Linked DNA regions of Danio rerio. The protein of the gene in region 2 interacts with the protein of the main gene of each other region in a pairwise test. Links are inferred from orthologs where the notes say so. Each region holds a gene or a part of one and is shown on either strand. Other genes may lie near its edges.

Region 1 (11,157 bases), on a different chromosome or scaffold from region 2:
AGGCTACGAGAAAATAGATAAAAAGAGCAGAGCTTCTGTAAAATAATAAATAAGAAGGATGTGGTCAAGTAAATAAATAAATTATATTTAAATAGTGTAACTGCTGAGAGCAACAGATTCTGGAGCTAGGGACACCGGCCCTCTAGGCCAAAAAATGGACCGGCCCTCCGGGAATTCTCCTGGTCCTCCCGATTAGCCAATCTGGGTCTGCTTACAGCTCTAACTCTAACAAGAATGAAATATTGAGAAGTAGAGGGATGTTCGAGAACTTGTCCCAGGGATGGTACAACGGCTGCAGCATATGTGATAATCAATAGTGGAAAGAGTACTGAAAAATCATACTTAAGTAAAAGCACTTTACTTGCCTAAAAATGTAGTGCAAGTAGAGTAAAAGTAGCCTTTTTCAAAAAATACTCAAGAGTAATAATGAGTAGTGAGTATTTCGCTGTAAAAAGCTGATGCATTTACATGTAATTTGTGCATGTGTGTAAACTTAATATTCTGTATTGTGTTTAGTTATTGCCCAGCAGGAGGCACACAACGTCATAAGATGTTAATATTACAGTAGTTTAGATTTAAGTTCTGTCGGGTGACCAAAATTTGATGTCTAGTCAGCATCTAAGGACAATGTTATTTTGACGTCCAATAATGTCATTAAACCACATTGATATTTGGTTGATTTTAGGTCAGTGACCAAAATCCAAAGTCGATCCAACATCTTAAACCAGCAACATATTGACATTAAATACTGACATTTATTCATCAGGTATAGCATTCAAAATCCAACGTCTAATAGAATTTATAGTGGTAACGTCTACATAACGTAAAGCTATAACATCATCAGATGTTGATATTTGGTTGGTTTTAGGTTGGGCATTGACTTTGGCCTGATGTTGAGTTCTGAAGTCAACCCTATTTTTATTTCCAAAAAAATGCAACATTCCCATGATGTTAGGGTACAACGTCAAACTTGTGCCTGTTGGGTGTTTAAGGCCATTTCGTCAACATACAGTAAACATCCATCATCTTCTCATCAGTGACCAGTCTCTGGATCAATGCATGTAAAGATTTTGGGCATCTTCTTGGACACTTTTACTGCTTCCAAAAGGTTTGCTGCATTTATAAAGCGCCCTTGACTTGAGGTAGTACATTCTGAGGTGATTTATCTTCTATGTGCGCTCTGATTGGACTTTAATTACAGGACTGACTTTGCTAATTCTCATAGACAAGTAATAATGAAATAGTGACTGCAGATTGAAGGAAAATAATTCTGTAAAAGTACAGACACAGCACTAAAAATATACTCAAGGGAAAGTAAAAGTACACATTTTTAAAACTACTTAATAAATTACAATTCCTTGAGTATTTGTAATTAGTTACTTTACACCACTGATAATAATTTACAAGTTTAAAATTGAATTTCATCAAATTGAAGGCATATATGCATATTTGGCATACTGTAACAGAGGACGGCTCTAAGTTTACATTTTTGGCTTGAAGCCAGAGTATATTGAGTGCTGCTTGAAAACTGTTCTGGGACAGAAGTGAATTAGCTATGTTTATGTATATAGATCTCAAATCATGCTGGCTACACAATCTAAACATCTTCCTCCCAAACTTTGTCGAAGTCATTTGATCCGACTGAAGAAGTTATGTCGTTCCATACACAATCTTGGAACTTAGGTGTCATTTATACATATGCTTCTTTTAAAATAAATGTTATTTTATAAAGCAAGCATTTCCAAACTAAAGCAGGGTCATTATCAGTATCAAAGCACTCCATTTTCGCAGGTTAAAGATGATTGTAAGAAATTTGTATGATTTTTAGAACAGCATGAAAGCCTACCCCTAACATAGGTGTCATCGAGGCATGGTCAAACGAAACTAATGAGATTTCATTTAAATTTGTCACTAAATTAACTACATTTAATATGGTTACTTGTCATGAGATTGTGTTGGTCCTGTGCAATCTTATAAGGAATGTGGTATTTTAGTTCATGTCTTCACAAACACTCACCAGTGGTACGGCCAGAAGCATACAGTGAAAGCACAGCCTGGATAGCCACATACATGGCCGGAACATTAAAGGTCTCAAACATGATCTGCAAATTAAACAACACAAACAACAGGTTAAGTCATTTAAGTATTTCTGCATCATTTTAAGTTTGTAGAGTTGTTGCTAGATGCTAGAGGCTATGATCTTTAGCCTCCTTGGTAGAGCAACAGACCCTCATGCAGAAGGTCGCCTGTTCGATATCAGCTCGAAGCGGGTTGGGTGGTGTAAGACCGTCGGGGTTACACATGCACATTTTAAAGATTTTCAAGCAGGATTACCTGTGTCATTTTCTCTCTGTTGGCTTTAGGGTTAAGTGGAGCCTCTGTGAGCAGCGTAGGGTGTTCCTCAGGGGCCACACGCAGCTCATTGTAGAAGGTATGGTGCCAGATCTTCTCCATATCATCCCAGTTGGTGATAATGCCGTGCTCAATCGGGTACTTCAAGGTCAGGATGCCTCTCTTGCTCTGGGCCTCATCACCCACGTAAGAGTCTTTCTGTCCCATACCTACCATCACACCCTGTTCAGGACAAGATGATGTCAAAAGTTCAGTACATACAGTATTTGCATTATGCATTTGGCAACAACATTTATTCAATACAACTAATGGTATATAGAAGGGAATCAATCACTTGACCTTGGCTATGTGTTCTACTGTTAAACTAAATTCATTGTAGTCTCAGCACTAGCTGACAGCTTAAAACTGGCATTATGGCAAACCCCTCATATGGAAGAAAAATCCATATAACTAAAAAAACGCATTAACATGTATTATGATCAACCTCCTGGAGTGTTTTTATTCTTTATCAAATATTTCCCAAGTCTTATATTCTTATACTGTGAAAAATTCCTTGCTCTGTTAAACATCATTTGAGAAATATTTTAAAAAGAAAAAAAAAGTATTTAAAATTCAAAGGGGGGCTAATAATTCTGACTTCAACTGTATATATTTATTTTGGAGAAAGTTTTGTTTCTTTTAGTTTAGCTGGAATAAATATATATTTTTTATTTTTAAATGAAAGTCAAATGTATGTTTAAGGCATGTTTAAATTAAGGTCAATATTATGAGACTTCTCAAAAAAAAATATTTTTTTTTGTTGCAGAACAAACCATGTTTGATCTGCCTAATTAACATAACTTGCCTATTAACCTAATTAACCTGGTAGGTTACAACAATGCTTAGCGAATGTAAAAAAAAAAAAAAAAAAAAAGAAAGAAAAGAAAATTAAACTGCCTAAAAAGATCAAATAATAAATCTAACTTTCAAAACTACAAAACTGCTCAAACTATCAAATAATAAATCAAAATTCATTCTCAAACGAGAAATCAAATGTATTTGATATTTAATTTTCATGAACAACTAAAAATCCTGTAAGATTTCAAAAACGAGTCAAATGCTCAAACTATGATTCAAATAAAGGAACCAGTTTCCTGATCACATACACAGCTGGAAGTTCATGATGGACTACTTATTAGGACACCATTTACAGACTCTTGGCTGAGTCTTGTTTTTTTTTCCCTGTGAGTCATTATAAAGCATTTTCCCTGTTTGTCCTGCCATGTTTTGATCCTTGTCTTGTTTACCGTCATTGTTTTTTTGCCTCCTGTCTTGTTTCTAATAAATGTTTTGTTAACATTTGTCTCTGTTTTTTTTTTTCCCCATAATGTAATACTTTTCATTTAAGACATTTTAGATCAGTGCAACTGATGTTTTCAAAAGTCAAGTAAGCAAGAAAAAGTGAAAGGAAATATAGATTGAGTTTTTTTTTTTCTGTTCACTCAACTTCAGGCATTCGTTTTGTAAAAAAAAAAAAAACATTTTCACTTGGCACAGTTTAAATGGTTTTGTTATAGCGTAGCTGACCTCTCCAAAAAACAAATAACCTTATGTTACCCCAACAAAATGTTTTTTTTGTAATACTGACAAAAAATTTTAGGTCAGTGCAACTGATATTTTCAAAAGTTGAGGAAACAAGAAAAAATTAAAGGAAATAAGGATTATGTTTTTTTTGTACTAGTCAGTTAGTTTTGCTGTGTTTTTCTCCCTGCGTTCGCGTGGGTTTTCTCCGGGTACCCCCACAGTCCAAAGACATGCGGTACAGGTGAATTGGGTAGGCTAAATTGTCCGTAGTGTATGAGTGTGTATGTGTGAATGTTTCCCAGAGATGGGTTGCGGCTGGAAGGGCATCCGCTGCGCAAAAATGTGCTGAATAAGTTGGCGGTTCATTCTGCTGTGGCCACCTCGGAATAATAAAGACACTAAGCTGACAAGAAAATGAATGAATGAACCTGCATGTGTTGCTAATGGTTTACACTCTGTAAATTACTTTCAAGTTTCCTACATACATTTTTTTTCTATAAGAAGTCTCAAGGTTTCAATGTATATGTTCATAAAAATGATGCAGAACAAAACACATTGTGATGTATTTCTTTACATGAAGTGATCCATAACCAATAGGGAATGGAAAAGAGTCCAGACCTTGTATGTGTGAAGCTCTGGCTAAGTGAGACTAAGTTTAATGAAAGTATAATGTTGCTATCTTGCATTAAGAAATAAACATTGTACCTGGTGGCGAGGACGACCAACAATGGAGGGAAAGACAGCACGAGGAGCATCATCTCCAGCAAAGCCAGCCTTCACCAGGCCAGAGCCATTGTCACACACAAGAGCAGTGGTCTCATCGTCATCACACATGGTGTCAGCTGGGGTTCTGGGTGAAGATCAGACACACAACTGTTAGAAAATTCTGTGAACATACATGACAGTTTGTTTGCATTCCAGCCAGGGTTGTGTTTTCACTTCATTATAAATCATATTGATCTAAAACAATTGTCATTAATGACTCTATGATTTAATGTCCATAAAATGTCTTCATTGGATATTATTATTTTGCTGATATATGAATAATTATTTGACTGTGTAACAAAATTAATCATACTATTGTATTGCTGCAAAAAAAAATAAAAAATAAAAAATCTTATTGGGTCTTTATTTTTAAGAGAGCAGTTTAGTAATTCATGCTGCTGACATGCTTGTCCTTGATTGACTTCTCCTCATAACAAGGTTTTAAAAGTAAGAAAATTAAAACTTCACTAAAATTCAAAGTCAGCAAAGTATTCTTAACTGGCAACTCTAAGCCTCTGAAAGGTTTGTTTAGCTCAAGTCAATTACTTGCATTGTAATTCCAGCCATATAACTGACCTAGTTTAAATCCTAGCATTCAGAAGATCATCCCATTAAATGAAGTCTGACATTTCTGAAAGCTTTAGCTGTACTTACCAGATCAGCACCAGGAGCTGGTTCCCTTGGAGAGTGAATGGTAGAAAGCGCCTTGAGTCACGGCCAATTTATAGACACTGAGTGGCCCTGGGTCGCTGGACTTCCCTCTCCATATTTGGTAGCCCGAGCGCCATTGAGAGCGGAGTGGCCATGAATGGAAGGGCGCAGAGAGGAGAGCCCGAGACCCGCGCTAGGCTTTTCGTCCTGCGCCCATGTATGGAGACTTGGAGAAAGACGCGGAAAGGCATCGCAGGGGGCGAGTGATGTCATTATTAATCAACGCGGAGCACACTGAAATACCATAGAAATGACATCCCGTAAACTCTGCATGTCATAGCCTATATATACATTTGAAGTCCGAATTATCAGCCCCTTTTCTTTTTTGAATATATCCCAATTGATGTTTAACAGAGCAAGGGAATTTTCACAGTATGTCTGATAATATTTTTTTTCTTCTGGAGAAATTCTTATTTGTTTTATTTCGGCTAGAATAAAAGCAGTTTTGATAAAAAAAAAAAAAAAACATTTTAAGTTCCAAATTATCAGCCTCTTTAAGCTATATTTTATAGTCAACAGCAGTGGTTCTTAAATTTTTTCATCAAGTACCACCTCAGAAAACCCTTCAAGTACCAAAATAATAAGCATTATTGAAATAAAGTAGCGTAGTGGGCACAGTGAAGCAGCTACAGCTCTGTACAGTTCAACAATGAGTCGGATTATTTTTTATTATTAAGAGTATTATTGTCAGCCACTTTAAACATTATAAATTGTTTAAACATTAACACTGTAATGTGCTTATACGTAAAAAAAAAAAAAAAAAAAAAAGTCAAATTTTAATTTAAATTGTGCTTTTAAAAGTAAAAAAATGTTAGGTTACTATTCTTAAAGTTAAAAAAAAAACTGTACTTAAATGTGAAGTATAACACTTAGAAATATAGGCTACATGTCATCATATTCATATATAATCATTTTTTATACATTTTTAATATATGTATCTACATATGACATATTTGATTCCTCAGCGTATCTAATGAAGCCCACATACCACTTGTGGTACACGTACCACAGTTTGAGAACCACAGGTCTACAGAACAAACCATCATTATACAAAAACTTGCCTACTTACCCAAACCTGCCTAGTAAACCTAATTAACCTTTAAACCTTAAAATGTCACTTTAAGCTGTATAGAAGTGTCTTGAAAAATATCTAGTCAAATATAATTTACTGTCATCATGGCAAAGATAAAATAAATCTGTTATTAGAAATGAGCTAATAAAAAAAATATGAATTATGTTTGTCATACACACTGAAATTGGGCACAAAATAAACAGGGGGGCTAATCATTCTGACTTTAACTGTATATAAATCATACAACACGCTCTTTAAACAACAAATAATCCACCATTTACACTAAATGTTGTCTTTTTAATTTCGAAATGAAGATGAATTCTAAGGGTATAAAGGGTTAAAAAGAGAATTGTATGTAAAATAATACTATAGTAATGTGTAGGTTATATAGTATACTGTTTTTAAGCCATACAGTTTGTTATACTGTATATATTATAGTACTCAGAATTTACAGCACTTGGTTCAGAATACTGTAACAATAGTGAAGTGATACACTGTAGGTACTGTTGTGTACTTTAGTTTTACTAGTGTATTGTGGTATAATATACACTAAAGTTGGAGAAAATGCAGTACATTTATTGAATTTCTTTTCAGCTTAGTCCCTTTTTAATCTGAGGATGCCACATCGGTCGCTGTGGCTTGAACTATCTATCTATCTATCTAAATTCATTTTCTTGTCGGCTTAGTCCCTTTATATATCCGGGGTCGCCACAGTGGAATGAACCGCCAACTTATCCAGCAAGTTTTTACAGCTGCAACCCATCTCTGGGAAACATCCACACACACATTCACACACACACTACAGACAATTTAGCCTACCCAATTAACCTGTACTGCATGTCTTTGGACTGTGGGGGAAACCGGAGCACCCGGAGGAAACCCACGCAAAGGCAGGGAGAACATGCAAACTCCACACAGAAACACCAACTGAGCCGAGGTTCGAACCAGCGTCCTTCTTGCTGAGAGGCGACAGCACTACCTACTGCGCCACTGCCTCACCATCTATCTATCTATCTATCTATCTATCTATCTATCTATCTATCTATCTATCTATCTATCTATCTATCTATCTATCTATCTATCTATCTATCTATCTATCTAAAGTCAAATATCATATCAGTATGTGATCTGACAATATAAATGTACAAATGCCCTATTCAGACCCTATTAAGTCTTTCATCCCCTATTGGTTCTCAAACTGTGGTATGTGTACCACCAGTGGTACACAGGCTTCCTTCAAGTGGTACACGGAGTAATAATTATAGTAAAAAAAAACAAAAAACACTTTTAACCCTTTGGCGCGTGCAATAAATTGATTTTAATAAGCTAAACCTTTTATTTTATTTAAAATTTTCTGTTTAAAGCTAATTTCCTCCCTATATTTGTAATGGTTGTTGGGCTTGTATTTTTATATCCCAATGTTGACAGATATAATCACTTGCTTTTCTGAAACTAATAGCCTACTATAACGTGCAGTAGGCAGATCTTATTTCTAATTTAAATATGTAAATCCAATTCATGTATCTGAAATACAAGTTAATGTTTAGATTTCAAAGAAATGCAAATATGTTATATATACATGCAACATATTTTAAAATTTATTTATTTAGAGTTTATATATGAATATGATAACATATAGCTTATATTTATAAAAGGTTTTGATAAATAGGATACTTTATGATAATACTTTACATTTAAGTACAGCAGATTTCTTTTTACTTTTTAAGAACATTTTTTAAATAACTTTTTTTAATTGTACCGTAAACTGAAGAACATCTCTACCGTATTTTTAACGATAGATTTCTGGCAACCACAGCTGTCAGTTTTTTACCGTAAAATTTCTGTTTCACTTACATATACCGTAAACTGAAAAACATCTCTATCCTATTTTAATGATAGATTTCTGGCAACCAGAGCTGCCAGTTTTTTACCATAAATTTTATGGGTTTTTTTTATATACTGTGTGTTTTACCTGTAAGCACAGCGCAGTGTTAATTTTCAAACTATTTATAATGCAAGTGGCTGACAATAATAAACATTCATAATAATAAGAATTAATCTGTTTCGTTTTTGAACTGTGCAGAGCTGTAGCTGCTTAATTAGGCCGGCATTGCTACTGGATTTCAATACTGGTCATTATGGTAATACTTAGAGAGACAATTGTCTCTGAGGTGGTACTTGATGAAAAAAAGTTTAAAAACCACTGCCATAGCAGACACCTTGATATCAAACAATATAAATAAATAAAAACTTGTCACATGTGAATAATGATTTGATATCAAAACTTTAAGTTCTGTTTGACGTAAGGTCTGGGTGTTTCCCAGTTGGAAGGACATCTGCTGTGTAAAACATATTCATTGCGATTCATTGGCAACCCCAGATTAATAAAGGGACTAAGCTGAAAAGAAAATGAATGAATTATTATTATTATTATTATTATTATAAGCTTTAGAGTAATCATCACCCATCTAAACTCTAATGATTAAGTTGCATTTTATTCAAAGTGAGCCGCTCTGATTCTGACTGGCTGCCTTTTTAGGAGCGCTTTAAATAACACCTGAAGTTCCAAATCAGCACACTTGAAAATCCATGTCAAAGACCCTCCACCCTTAGGTTAGCAGAGTTATTATGACGAATAGAGGATTGTTAAAATAGGGATTGTAGAAGCCACATCACTCACCAGCACCGGTGTGCACTGTAAGTATTCAGCCAAAAAATGCTGAGTTGTATTATGGTTTCACCTCATCACTCCTGTATCAGCATTTCGCTTCACTTCTGGATTTATGGAGGTCAAAAGAAAGTGTGTGCTGTGCTGCGATTCCACTGAAACGTTCATTTGCACGACATTGTGTCTCCTAGTAATGATGGTTTCCTCTCATAATGTTCAATTCATCTGATGTAACGTGCTGCTTTTTGAATAATCCCCAACATTCTCTGTCTGAGCATCTGTCAGCCGGCAGGGGCTTAGGGTTTGCTCTATTTGAACTTGTTTCAGTGTTAAGGGGGATTTGGCTGATGCAGAAATAACCTTGATATTTATTTCAACCGCTTGTGGGCAAATATGTCAATGTTTGTGTATATACTGCACAGTTGAAGGCAAAATGATTAGCCCTCTTGTCAAATTGTTGTTTTTTGTGCTGTTAGATGGAGATTTTTTTTTTCGGACACATATTTTTAACCCTCCTGTTGTGCTTACATCACTCTCCTTACGTTAGTGTTCCCTGTCAAAATTGGACGGTCTTTTCACCAGCATGTTTTTAATTAGCATTCTATAGCTGTGAACACTGTCTCAATAGTATTTAACAGAATTTGTAGAATTAGACATAAAATAACTGCAGTGACAATAATAGGCATGAAAATGTATTACAAAAGAAACTAAGTAAATTTGGTAGACAAACTTTATGGTGGCTTGAGAAAGCCTCATCTGAAAGTTGTTCCTGGAGGGCCGGTGTCCTCCAGATTTTTGCTCCAACCTTAATCAAACACACCTGAACAAGCTAATCAAGGTCTTACTATACTTGAAACACCCAGGCAGGTGTGTTGAGGCAAGCTGGAGCTAAACCCTGCAGGGCACTGGACCTTCAGGATTGAGATTGGTTTAAATCATTGAAGTAGTTTTTAAGAAGTTTGAAACAGCTGCCATAGACAGATCATATAGGCTAGCATGTTTCTAGCAAAGAGCTTAGAATGACCAAGAGGCGACACTCAATAGAACGTTCCATTGCAACAGCAGCGCCCAGCAACAGCCCCGGATTCTGCCATTTTGGAGTGAAAGTGATCGGCCGTCGATAGGATCTCATTACTGTCGCGATGGCAAGCAGCTGCTTTGTTTTTTATTAATTTATTTTAAAAGCGCATTAAAGCCGAGATACAACCTGAAAGACGACAATACAACATTTGTTTTCATAATCATCAGCACTTTTAATAGTTTATTTTACAGACTTATAATATGCTGTTGTTCTATTGGAGTTTTCATTCCATAAGGGCCGACGCCCTCTAGTGGCTGTTTCCCAAATTACACTAGAGTGTCGCCTCTTGGTCATTCTAAGCTCTTTGGTTTCTAGTATGGATTGGCATGTTTATTGTTGCTAAGTGGTTGCTTAGGTGTTGCTAGGCGATTGCTAGGGTGTTCTGAGTGATTGCTTGGTGGTTGCTCAGGCATTACTAGACGGTTGCTAGGGTGTTTCGGGTAGTTGTTAAGGTATTGCTTGGTAGTTGCAAGTTGTTGTTATGCAGTTGCTCGGATGTGGTTCCTAAGATGTTGCTAGGTGGTTGGCGGGGTGTTGTGGGTGGTTGCTAAGGCATTGCTAGGTGGTTGCTAAGGTGTTGCTAGGGTGTTATGATTAGTTGTTAGGCAGTTGCTAAGGTGTTTTAAGTCGTTGATAGGGTGTTTTGATTGGTTTCTAGGCGGTTGCTAAGGTGTTGCTTGGGTGTTCTAGGGCATTGCTAAAGGCTGATTTATACTTCTGAGTCAAGTGCACGCATGTGTTATGACGCAGCCTATGTGTGGTTGCATAGCCCTCACCGTGGCCATTGTCGTCGCTGACGTTGCTGATGTGCACCTCTTAAAAAATGTAACTACACATCGCACAACACGTAGTGCAAGCTCTGTGATTGACACAGATAGAACCTTATAATTCCAAGGTGACAATATATTTGTATTCAGCTTAAAGTGTCATTTAAAGGCTTAATTC
Region 2 (10,478 bases):
CATACATCATTTAGCTATCAGTTAAGATTATTTCAAGAATTCCAAGTATAAAATTCACCTTTATTTTATTCTTCTAAATCAGGGGTGTCCAAACTCAGAGCTGGAGGGCCGCTGTCCTGCAAAGTTTAACTCATCTGCCTGGAAATTTCCAGTATATCTAGAAAGAGCTTTATCAGCTGGTTCAGATGTGTTAAATTGAGGTTGGAACTACAACATGTAGAATGCTGGCCCTCCAGGAATGAGCTTGGGCACCCCTGCTCTAAATTAAGTGAATTTAAATGGATGGATGGATGGATGGATGGATGGATGGATGGATGGATGGATGGATGGATGGATAGATGGATAGATAGATAGGTAGATAGATAGATAGATAGATAGATAGATAGATAGATAGATAGATAGATAGATAGATAGATAGATAGATAGATGGATGGATGGATGGATGGATGGATGGATGGATGGATGGATGGATGGATGGATGGATGGATGGATGGATGGATGGATGGATGGATGGATGGATGGATGGATAGATAGATAGATAGATAGATAGATAGATAGATAGATAGATAGATAGATAGATAGATAGATAGATAGATAGATAGATAGATAGATAGATAGATAGATAGATAGATAGATAGATAGATAGATAGATAGATAGATAGATAGACGTTTACAACACTGCAATATATAAAAACACTTTTCCATTTGGAAGTTATTTGGTTTTGATTGAATTATTTAACAGAAAACAAGACTCTCTTTCAGATCTAATTTTGCTTTACTAGTAAATGAACACATTCTGTATGGCTATATATCAAACATGCATATTCTTGTATACATTTTGTCAGGCCTATGATCTGAGTCTTACCATGTACTATGAGGTCAAAATTACAGCTGTCAAACTTGTCTCTAGATGACACCTCACAGCGATAGGCTCCGGCAAAGTTGGCTTTAGCTGCAATGATATGCATCTCAAATGTGTACACCTGAATACAAAAAAAATTAGAAAAAAGTTTGTCACTTATTTTTGATTTCACGTTCTGAAGATATTGAGGAAATATAATAGTTTAGTTTAAATCTGTTTTCCTGTGGTCAGACCTTAGTGTTGCGGTCATAGTGCTCTTTGAGCTGCAGGTGCTTTCCTGACTTGCTGGCCAGATCCATCCACTTTCCTTTGAACCATTTCACCGTGGGCTTCTTCAGCAGAGACTCACCACACACCCGAGCAATGAAAATAATGTTTTCACCTAAATGGGAAGAAAAGATTGTAAGTTTTTCCATTTGTATTCACTTTCAGTTTCTAGATGGACTGTCACTCACCAACATTCACCTCCCCGCTGTGAGGTTTCTCAGTGAAGAGTCCTGTAAGGTCCTGCCTTGTGTCAGGCTGATGACTCTCAGGCAGAGCTTAAAAACAAATAGCAAAACAGGTTTGAAATTCATCTGAGAATTTAAAACTTTGCGATGTCAAATATAAAGTATAGTGACACATTCAGAACATACATAACTAGATCAAAGCAAAATATTTAACCAATAATTCATTCATTCAATAATTATTCATACATTTAGCCTTAGTCCCTGACTTTCAGGGGCATAAAGCTGCTAATGGAATTCAGAAATGCTTCTTTTTAACGACAACAGATGTTATTAAGTGAACTACAGCCAGTTGATTAATATACTCTATACTCGCATCATTATTTTTTCCCCTTTTGTTTAGAGGCAAAATAATTTCTAAGTTATATATATATATATATATATATTCATACACACACACAAACACACACACACACACACATATATATATATATATATATATATATATATATATATATATATATATATATATATATATATATATATATATATATATATATATATATATATATATATATATATATATATATATATATATATATATATATATATATATATATATATATATATATATATATATATATATATATTTTCAGAATGCTTTTTAGATTAAATATGTGTGCGCGCATTCTTATGAATAAAAACAACAACAACAACAAAAAATGCAAGAAAATTTACATCAAGAAGAAAACAGTAGTTAAGAAAGCTAATAAAGGGTGTTTTGACTTCAGGAAAGTTATTAGTTCCCTTCCTTTGGTCCAGAATTTTTTAACACCAGATCTTTGATTCTAAATTTGGTGTGGTTTGCTTTCACACTAATATTTTTACAAATGAACCAGAAATTGTAAACAAAAGTACACATGCTAAAGTCAGCCATCTATTTAGATGAAATTTGCTTTTTGGCTTTGTATTTGCTGTGCAACTATCATCTGCACTGTCCAAAAGAACTGCCTATGACAGACTCTAACTGTAGCTTTGAGGACCCATTCAAATATTGCAGCTTTTGCTCTTATACACACTGTAAAAACAGTCAGCTTTATCATATAGTGTAGTTAACCCAACATTGACTGAAAGTTATCTCTACTCTACTGAAAAGAGTTTTGAACTGTTTTGAAGGTTTTGACTTAATTAAATACCTCATTACTTCACTTAAATGGAGTAAGTTTACAGTACTTATAGATTATCTTTTTTTAACTCAAAAGGTTTGTAGCAATCGGTTTCCTCAAACGGTTTAAGTCGTCTTAATTTATTGGGTTTTACAGTACTCAGTTGGTTTGAGTTCTCTTCATTTATTGGGTTTTACTGTGCTCAAATTGCTTCTTTTACTTGAATAGAGTGAGTTCACAGTACTCATTTGGATTAGTTTTTGAATTTTTAGATGGTTTAAATGGTTTATTGCAATCGGTTTTTATCAAATAGTTTGAGTTACCTTAACTTTTTGGGTTTTACAGTGCAGTATATTCTCTGTTTCAAATGTAGATGTGCACAAATAGAGTGCAACATGGTTGGTTGTAACACATTTCGGTTATAACGGTAGACTGGTTACCAAACACAGAAAAGCCGAATAAAGTTTCACACCAAAGTGAAACAAACTTGAGTTTGATCCAACCAAACTAAACAAGACAGGTGTGAATACATCCAATGTTATCAAAGATGTGGATATGTTTGCACAAGTGAGAACATGAGTAAACTTTGACTCTGTGTGTGTTTTTGTATCCACCTTCAGGTGCGACTCCATCCGATGGCGGTCCAGTGCTTTCTGGTGCTGAGTTTTCAGTTGGGGCTGGTGGAGGCTCTTTGGGCTCAGGTTTGGATTCTTCAGGTTTAGATTCTTCAGGTTTATGTTCCACTGCTGCAGGATCCGGGGATTTGGCTTTTTCCACTCCCTTTACTGCAAAAGTGCAAAAATCCTTAAAATGACTATCCGACAACATGCGATAAACAATCAGTCATGTGGCTCAGAGAAGTTTCACTTTTGACAGCTGATGAATAATAAAACAAGTCCCTGTAGCCATACATTACTAATACTTTATTTAAAAACTATCTGGACCCAAGTAAAAATCAAACCCTTTAGGGGCTCTAGAGGATAGTGATTTAAACTTAAAGTTGAACTTTGTTACAAAATTCAGAGGCTTACATTTTTCACATGAAATACCCTCAAAGACATTTTCAGTCTATTAATGAACATGATTGTGCTTGTAATGGTTTTCTCTTGGATCCTTTTCTGCTTTGATATTGCTCTCTTTGCAAATCTAATGACCATACAAATTAGGACTCAGTCTTGCTTTCATCCTCTGTTGTGCTTTGAAAAATAGCTCTAAATACTGAATGTATAAATATAGACCTATGCTGAATTGGTAGATGCTTGAAGCTCTCCAAGCAGCGAACAATATACCGAATTATGTCTACAGCAGCAATGGATTATATGAACAATTGACCAAATTTAATTAAGTAAATCTCACTGTAAAAACTGTGCAATTCCTTCATGTCAAAACAACTTGATCGAGTCTGTTTCCCAACCCTGTTCCTGAACGCACACCAAAAGTAGACATTTTCAACCTCTCCCTAATCAAACACATTTGAATTATCTCATCAGAACATTAGAAGAGACTCCAACACCTGAAATGAATGGGTCAAATAAGGGATGTACTGTTAGTGTGCCCCCAGGAACAGGGTTGGGAAACACTGGATTAAGTTAACATCATTGTTTTTACAAATTTAAGTTGAATGAACGTAATACCCCCTTAAGTATTGCTTTTTAACTCATTTTAAAAAAGTAAATTAAACAAGTAGCAAAAGTTAAAAAGCTTTTTTTCTTCTTAAACAGATGTCTTTTTGTACAAGTATAATTGTGTTCAATTTGTTTAGTTTGACAGCTATATTTTAGTGCGACCACCTAATCTGAATATATCAGGCTAGCTAATCATGTATTTAATTTATTTTGCACAATGCAGGAACAAAAGCTCTATGAATTGACACTAAAAGGCAAATGTTCAAAGTTCTAGTAAGTTTCTGAGAAAACAGCAAGCTGAAAAAAAACTTATAAATAGTGATAACATGCTCTGAGAAAGGTGCTTGAAAAAACAAACCTTTGTGACTAAAAGGTAAAGTAAGACGTAAAAAATGTAAGGAGAACTGGTTATGGTGCTCTGTGACTTTTACAAACAAACCAATGGTGGGGAGAAGGTGAAGTAGATGCAGGAATACGTCGCCATCCAAAAATCACCCACCTTCTGATTCTTTTATCTTTAATTCAAATTTGACCTTTGACATCCCAGCAATAACAGCATATCCCACTGCATCCTCCTGGATGATATTATTTATAGTGAGAGAATGCTTATTGTCCTCTGCTGAGATGGTGTATTTGTGACTGGGTAAGATGTCCTTGGATTCTCGCTGCCATTTCACTTTTACACCTGGCTTCTCAGTTTCAGCTTCAAATATGACTCTTGCCCCAATCTCAGCAGTCTGGGACTTTGGTTTCTTGCTGAAAGCTGAGACTGAAGGAGTGAGGGAGGTTCAAAAGCAAAGCATGAATTTACCAAACCTTAATCTCAAGATCATTTATATATGACATTTAAACCTTAGTGTGCACCAAACATTTCAAGTCCAGAGGTCTCAGTCTGCTTGTTTGATGTGCATTGATATGCAATCAGAATCAGAATCAAAAGTTTTATTGCCAGGTGTGTTTACACACACGAGGGATTTGTTTTCATAACAGAATTTTCCACAGTGCAACAAATTGACAGTGAAAGAACAAAAATTTAGATAGAAATGTTAAAAATAAGAATCAACACATTTGACAAACACATATACAGTATATTATTATATAAAACATCGTTTGTATGGTTACATTATGTGCAAATTAAATGTTAACTATATGTGTGCTGTTTATAAAAATAAAAAAATAGGTGTATTTGTGTATAAATAGTGTTTGTTCATGCAAATGGCAGCATTCACACTTCACATCGCACTAAAAGAATGATCACACCAGAGTTTGTTTTCACCAAACCATGCACACTCTGGTGCAGCTCTACTGAGATATGAACAAAGACATCTAAACGCCTCCAAAACAGGATATGATGTCAAAACATGCAACCATAATGCTAAAGCATCCATGTTTTTTTCTTGTAATAGTTATGATGTTGCCAAGCACAATTAAATGACGGCAGAAACACATAACAGATCTTCATTTGTGTGTTTGTGACTTTATTCTTGATTTGATATTGAGTCATTTATCATTTGTTTGTTTTGTATCTATACAAATTTAACTAAGCTCTTGAGCGTGAACACTTACTGTACATATGCCTTAAGATTTTGTACCATCAAGTGAGATGTCTCAGATAACAAGTAGATGAATATTTTGTTTTCAAATGAAGGGCAGGAAGTAAAAAACTGAATGGGAGACATGAGGAAAGTCCATATTTTTGCGATTTATACCATATTTCAAAGGAGATATAAATAGATAATAACCACATAAAATGGGTATGGTCCTTATATCATGAAGCGGGCCGAGTTTTCTACTGAACTTAAATATATTGGCCTGCCATCGAGGCGGTACATACTGTATGAGCTATTAGGTTACATGAAAAAACACTAGTGTTAATACTATAGCGGTTGGAAGCATACTACAGACCATTTTGAGGGATGTAAACAATAACAATAGTCCTAACGTATTTGTTTTACATTTTTAATTTCCATGGGTTCTGAGAATCCTAAATGATCCACATATTGATAAACATTGTTAGGACAGCTGTTTTAATGTTAAGATGTAATAGAATTTCCTCTTGTTACAGTTATTAAAACAGTTTGACAACAAGCAGGAAATGTTCATGGCATCACCACATTGAAATGGTCTATATATTGATAATTACTTGTATTGAACTGTCTTAGTAATTATATTGTTGTTGTGGTACGACACATCTGTAGTAACAAACAAATTATTTAATAGGCTTCAGTTTCTATATTTATACACCATCACAATGCACCACAGTTTACACTAACATTACAGTATTTATTACCGTTTACTGTGCTACAGTATTCGGTAGCATTCATTAACAAAGAGCCGTACACCTTATACACTTAACTATGTAGTTCAAAAACATGTTTATTATAAATTACGATAAGTTTTCCCCAAGTGGATATCTTCCAGACATCAGGAAACAACCGATGAAAGCATACAAAAGCCCAGACGCATACTCTACATTACTATTTATTTTTGTAAGGGGGAAAAGTGCTCCACAATAATAACCGTCTAGTTTTGTCAATGAACTTACCACGAACAAACATTCATCGCTGCTGCAAATAGACGTTAACATTACGGTTGTTTATTCCATCAAAATGCTAGTAAAGAGATAAATTATTGCAAAACTAGACAAAGATTTTATTACAACGATTTCATGGCAGGGTTCTCTTGGATTTTGTGTGGTGGTGTTTGTATCTGACTTTTATCAGATACAGTTTCTTGTCCCCCCTTCGTTTATAAGCAAAATCCTTTGGAAGTCTATATAAAAGGCGTTCTGCATTTCTTATTTTGGCCGATTTAAACAATTAGAAACAACATAAACCAGAAACATTTAAATGTTCTGATAGCGATTCCTACATAGAACATTCACTACCTGCCTTCCATCTGAATTTAGCACGTCATTGATAACGTTATGTGAAAACAACCTATAGCGGTGAGGAACAGTAAACGTGAAGGTTCTGGACTGACTTTGTGGCTCTCTGTGAAAACACATTAAATTGAAGCTTACTTACTGATCTAAGGCTTATAAAAGGGATGCTGACTTGTAAAAGCAAGTGGAATAGGAGAGTGTATGTCAGCTGTATAAGTATCTATGTCAAGCTTTAGTTGATCTAGTAACCAGTGTGGTGCTTGTAATTGTGGGCCCTATCATACACCCGGCGCAGTGTGGCGCAAGGCGTGGCGCAATAGTCTTTTGGTAGTTTCAGCTTGGCGCAAGAGTCGTTTTGAGGCAGCAAATGCATTAGCGCTCATTTGTGCGCCCATAGGCGTTCTGGTCTAAAAAGGGAGGCGTTCTGAGGCGGACCGCTGGCGCTTTGCTATTTTGAGAAACTATAATAGGTTTTTCATTAGACCAAAACAAACCCGATCTAAACTCCGACGCACAGTTGCGCCTCGCTTACGCACTACTTAATACGCACAAGAGAGCAATAGGCAAATATCTTTACATATGAAAAAATTTAAATATTAAGGATATATATAGGATATAATAAAAATAGATATAGGACATAAATATAAAGGATTAAAATATTACAAAACATATTATTTTCTAGCCTACATAAATATGAAAAATCACTGCTTTTATGTCTTCTTCATCTCGGGAGGCTTTTTCAGTTCATTCATAACAGTTTGCTTTTGTATAATGTTATTATTATTAGCAGTATTATTTATTATTTCCAAATTTATATTTGTTTTATTAAAAACAAGCTTAGATTTGCCCACCTGCAGGTTTTAGACCATATGGGGCACAGCATGTGTTTTAGGATATAACTCAGGTTTTTGAGCACATTTTGTTATTATTGTTTATTTATTCGTTTGCTGGAAATTATAACTGAATTTAGAAATAGTTTTGAAACGAATATTTGTGCTTAACAAACGCAATTATTTATTTATAGACTAATTGATGTCTGTGCGTAAAGGTTTCCCTATCCAAGAGTGAATGTGAAAGTAGTTCCATTATCTCTTATTCTCACGCAGTAGATGCTCTGTTTAACAGTTTTCTGTTAAAAAACTGTTAACTGTTAACTGTTTGCTAGTGAAATGCTCATTTTTTCCACTTAGACTTACTTTGCGTCCTGTAAATAGCGAATGCGCTCTTGGCGCGATGCAGCTGGCTCTTAAAGGGAATGGGAGATGAGACTCTAATTGGTTTATTCTCAAAACACACCTATAACTCATTAAGAAAATAAACTCAACCCTTTTAGACCATGTGCCATGGCGCAAAGCAGGTTTTCCCGTCCTTAAATTAGCAAAAATGTGTTCTGACACGCCCTGAAAGCATTTGCGCCCTGCGTTTTGCGCTCTGCGCATGCACCGTCAAAATAGAGCCCTGTGTCTTAAATCACAAATAGTAGGTATGTAGTTTGTAACTTGGTTTGCAACCATCAAAATAGTATGTTCTAATCATTATTTTAAATGTGTGTAATTCAAATGAAATTTTGATGGACTACATCTGACATTTTGCTTCTGTCATGTGACCTACATCTCCAGTTGCCTTGCTTTATTGTCCATCATAAATTCACAAAGTTAAGTGTCTGTTGTATGAGCACTTAAGAATTTCGCCAGACGTGTTAAGTCAGTTGAGTACTTTTTTGGGGGTACTTTTTCATGATTAGTGTGACATATTACTCAATGCTATTCCTTTTTAAATGCAAATTCTGTAAAAATGTAACAAATATTTGTGACTCGAGTCATACTGAAAAACGTAAAACATAGTTTTTCTAGCATGTGATATCAACTTAAGAAATATTTAGTACACTGTTTTTCTTTTTAACACTTGAAGGCGTTGCTGGAACTTGATCTTCATATCTATTGTTACACACATGCCTTAAATTATTAACTGCTTATTCATTGCTCTTTCTTGTAGTTGGAGTCACACATCTTCAATCACATCGATGCAAATGGTTCAAGCATAAAGCAAGCCAAGCCTCTGCGCTTAAAAATAGAGTGCATGTGCTCTCCATTGAGAACTGCGGTCCACGTCGACACAGCCACAGGTAGCTGCTAGATGGATTAGCTAGGATCTATTTTTGTTGTTGTTATCAAGCACTGGTCACTCTTTTGCCATTTCAGAACCGCTGGTATCTACATTGCCTTTGTTCCACACTACTAATGTCTGGATAGATGCAAGCAGTGACAGTCAACTAATGATGAATATGTGGTAAATATGCTTTGAACTGGAGGCATGAAAGGTAATAATTTTCACAGTCATAACGTGTCAGCCAGCGGTCAGTGGAGATCGTCAATGGGATGGGAAACTTTCTCATGAAGGTGACATGTTTATGTCCGTCACAAAGGTTACATTAGATGCTGATGGTTGGCGTCCAAATATTGACATCCTGGTGTGTCTAACACTCAAGAGTATTTAAAACAAAATCTGCCATCTGTTAAATCAAATTAAACTATCTTTGAGAGGTGTAAAGATGCCTTAAGTCTAGACTATAGCAATCATTCTCAACTTATTGGACCTGCTTTGTTCATATATACCCTATATGATGGTATATGAACCACTGGTATTTTGGTAGCCATGAAAATAAACAAGTATGTCATGGTGACTTCATTGGTTTTAAATCATTTTTAGACTTCTTGGGGTTCCTCTGGAAGCTTGCAGAGGCCCTCTATTTGGCCCCTGGTTTAGAACCGCTGGTTTAGAGCCTCTGAAATCCACCAATAGGGAAGAGAAAGTGTGAAGCTAAAATGACTACATGGATTTGGTTACTACCACTAAACTTCATTGCTTAATGCCGAAAAGTGATGCAACAGCATTGTTAGCATGCTCTTGGTCTTAGCGAATATCGCCACAGTCGGCTGTCACGAAACAGGTGGCATCACATTATTGCAATCTTTTAATTCCTGCGTAGGCAGGGTTATTTTCTCTGCACTTTTGGAAAAAAGCCCTTCAGCCCACGGCCATTATTCTATCACGTAAGCTTAGATACGATTTAGCAGTTTATACTAAGGATACTTTCAGTTTAAGTAGTTGCATGTTACAATTAAACACCTAATAATATTAATTACATATTAGATATAAGGTTGCACTATAATTTACAGTATATGTCTTACTGTGTACTTAAAGGTACGTAAATTAGTGGGTCATGCAAGGTACCATGGAATCAGGGGTAGGTTTAGAAATAGTGCCGAGTTATAGTACCCAGTTTTGTAATAACTAGTATAAGTATGCAGTATGTAATGTTTATATGCAAAACAGGACTGTAAAATAAAGTGCTAAGAATAGGGTTTGATTTAATGTTAGTGGCTTGTAATCACACAAAATTAGCTGTTTACTTTAGTTGCTAAATGTAAAATATGCAACAGGTCTGTTGTTAATATGTTTCTTTGTTTACAGTGCAATTTGTGCGAGAAA

What was found.
Region 1: the proteins of mybpc3 (region 2) and actc2 interact in a two-hybrid assay, tested with the Homo sapiens proteins (2 studies listed by IntAct). The link is inferred for Danio rerio from reciprocal best matches to the Homo sapiens genes MYBPC3 and ACTC1.

What each region holds. Positions count from the first base shown.
Region 1 is NC_133195.1:10,142,129-10,153,285, forward strand, and holds the start of actc2 (actin, alpha, cardiac muscle 2), read right to left. Parts: upstream 5,378-11,157; 5' UTR 5,335-5,377; intron 4,766-5,334; 5' UTR 4,750-4,765; coding exon 4,621-4,749; intron 2,575-4,620; coding exon 2,335-2,574; intron 2,103-2,334; coding exon 2,018-2,102; intron 1-2,017. UniProt on the Homo sapiens protein: Actins are highly conserved proteins that are involved in various types of cell motility and are ubiquitously expressed in all eukaryotic cells.
Region 2 is NC_133182.1:31,885,724-31,896,201, reverse strand, and holds part of mybpc3 (myosin-binding protein C, cardiac-type), read right to left. Parts: intron 4,872-10,478; coding exon 4,602-4,871; intron 3,263-4,601; coding exon 3,092-3,262; intron 1,405-3,091; coding exon 1,318-1,404; intron 1,245-1,317; coding exon 1,096-1,244; intron 984-1,095; coding exon 866-983; intron 1-865. UniProt on the Homo sapiens protein: Thick filament-associated protein located in the crossbridge region of vertebrate striated muscle a bands. In vitro it binds MHC, F-actin and native thin filaments, and modifies the activity of actin-activated myosin ATPase.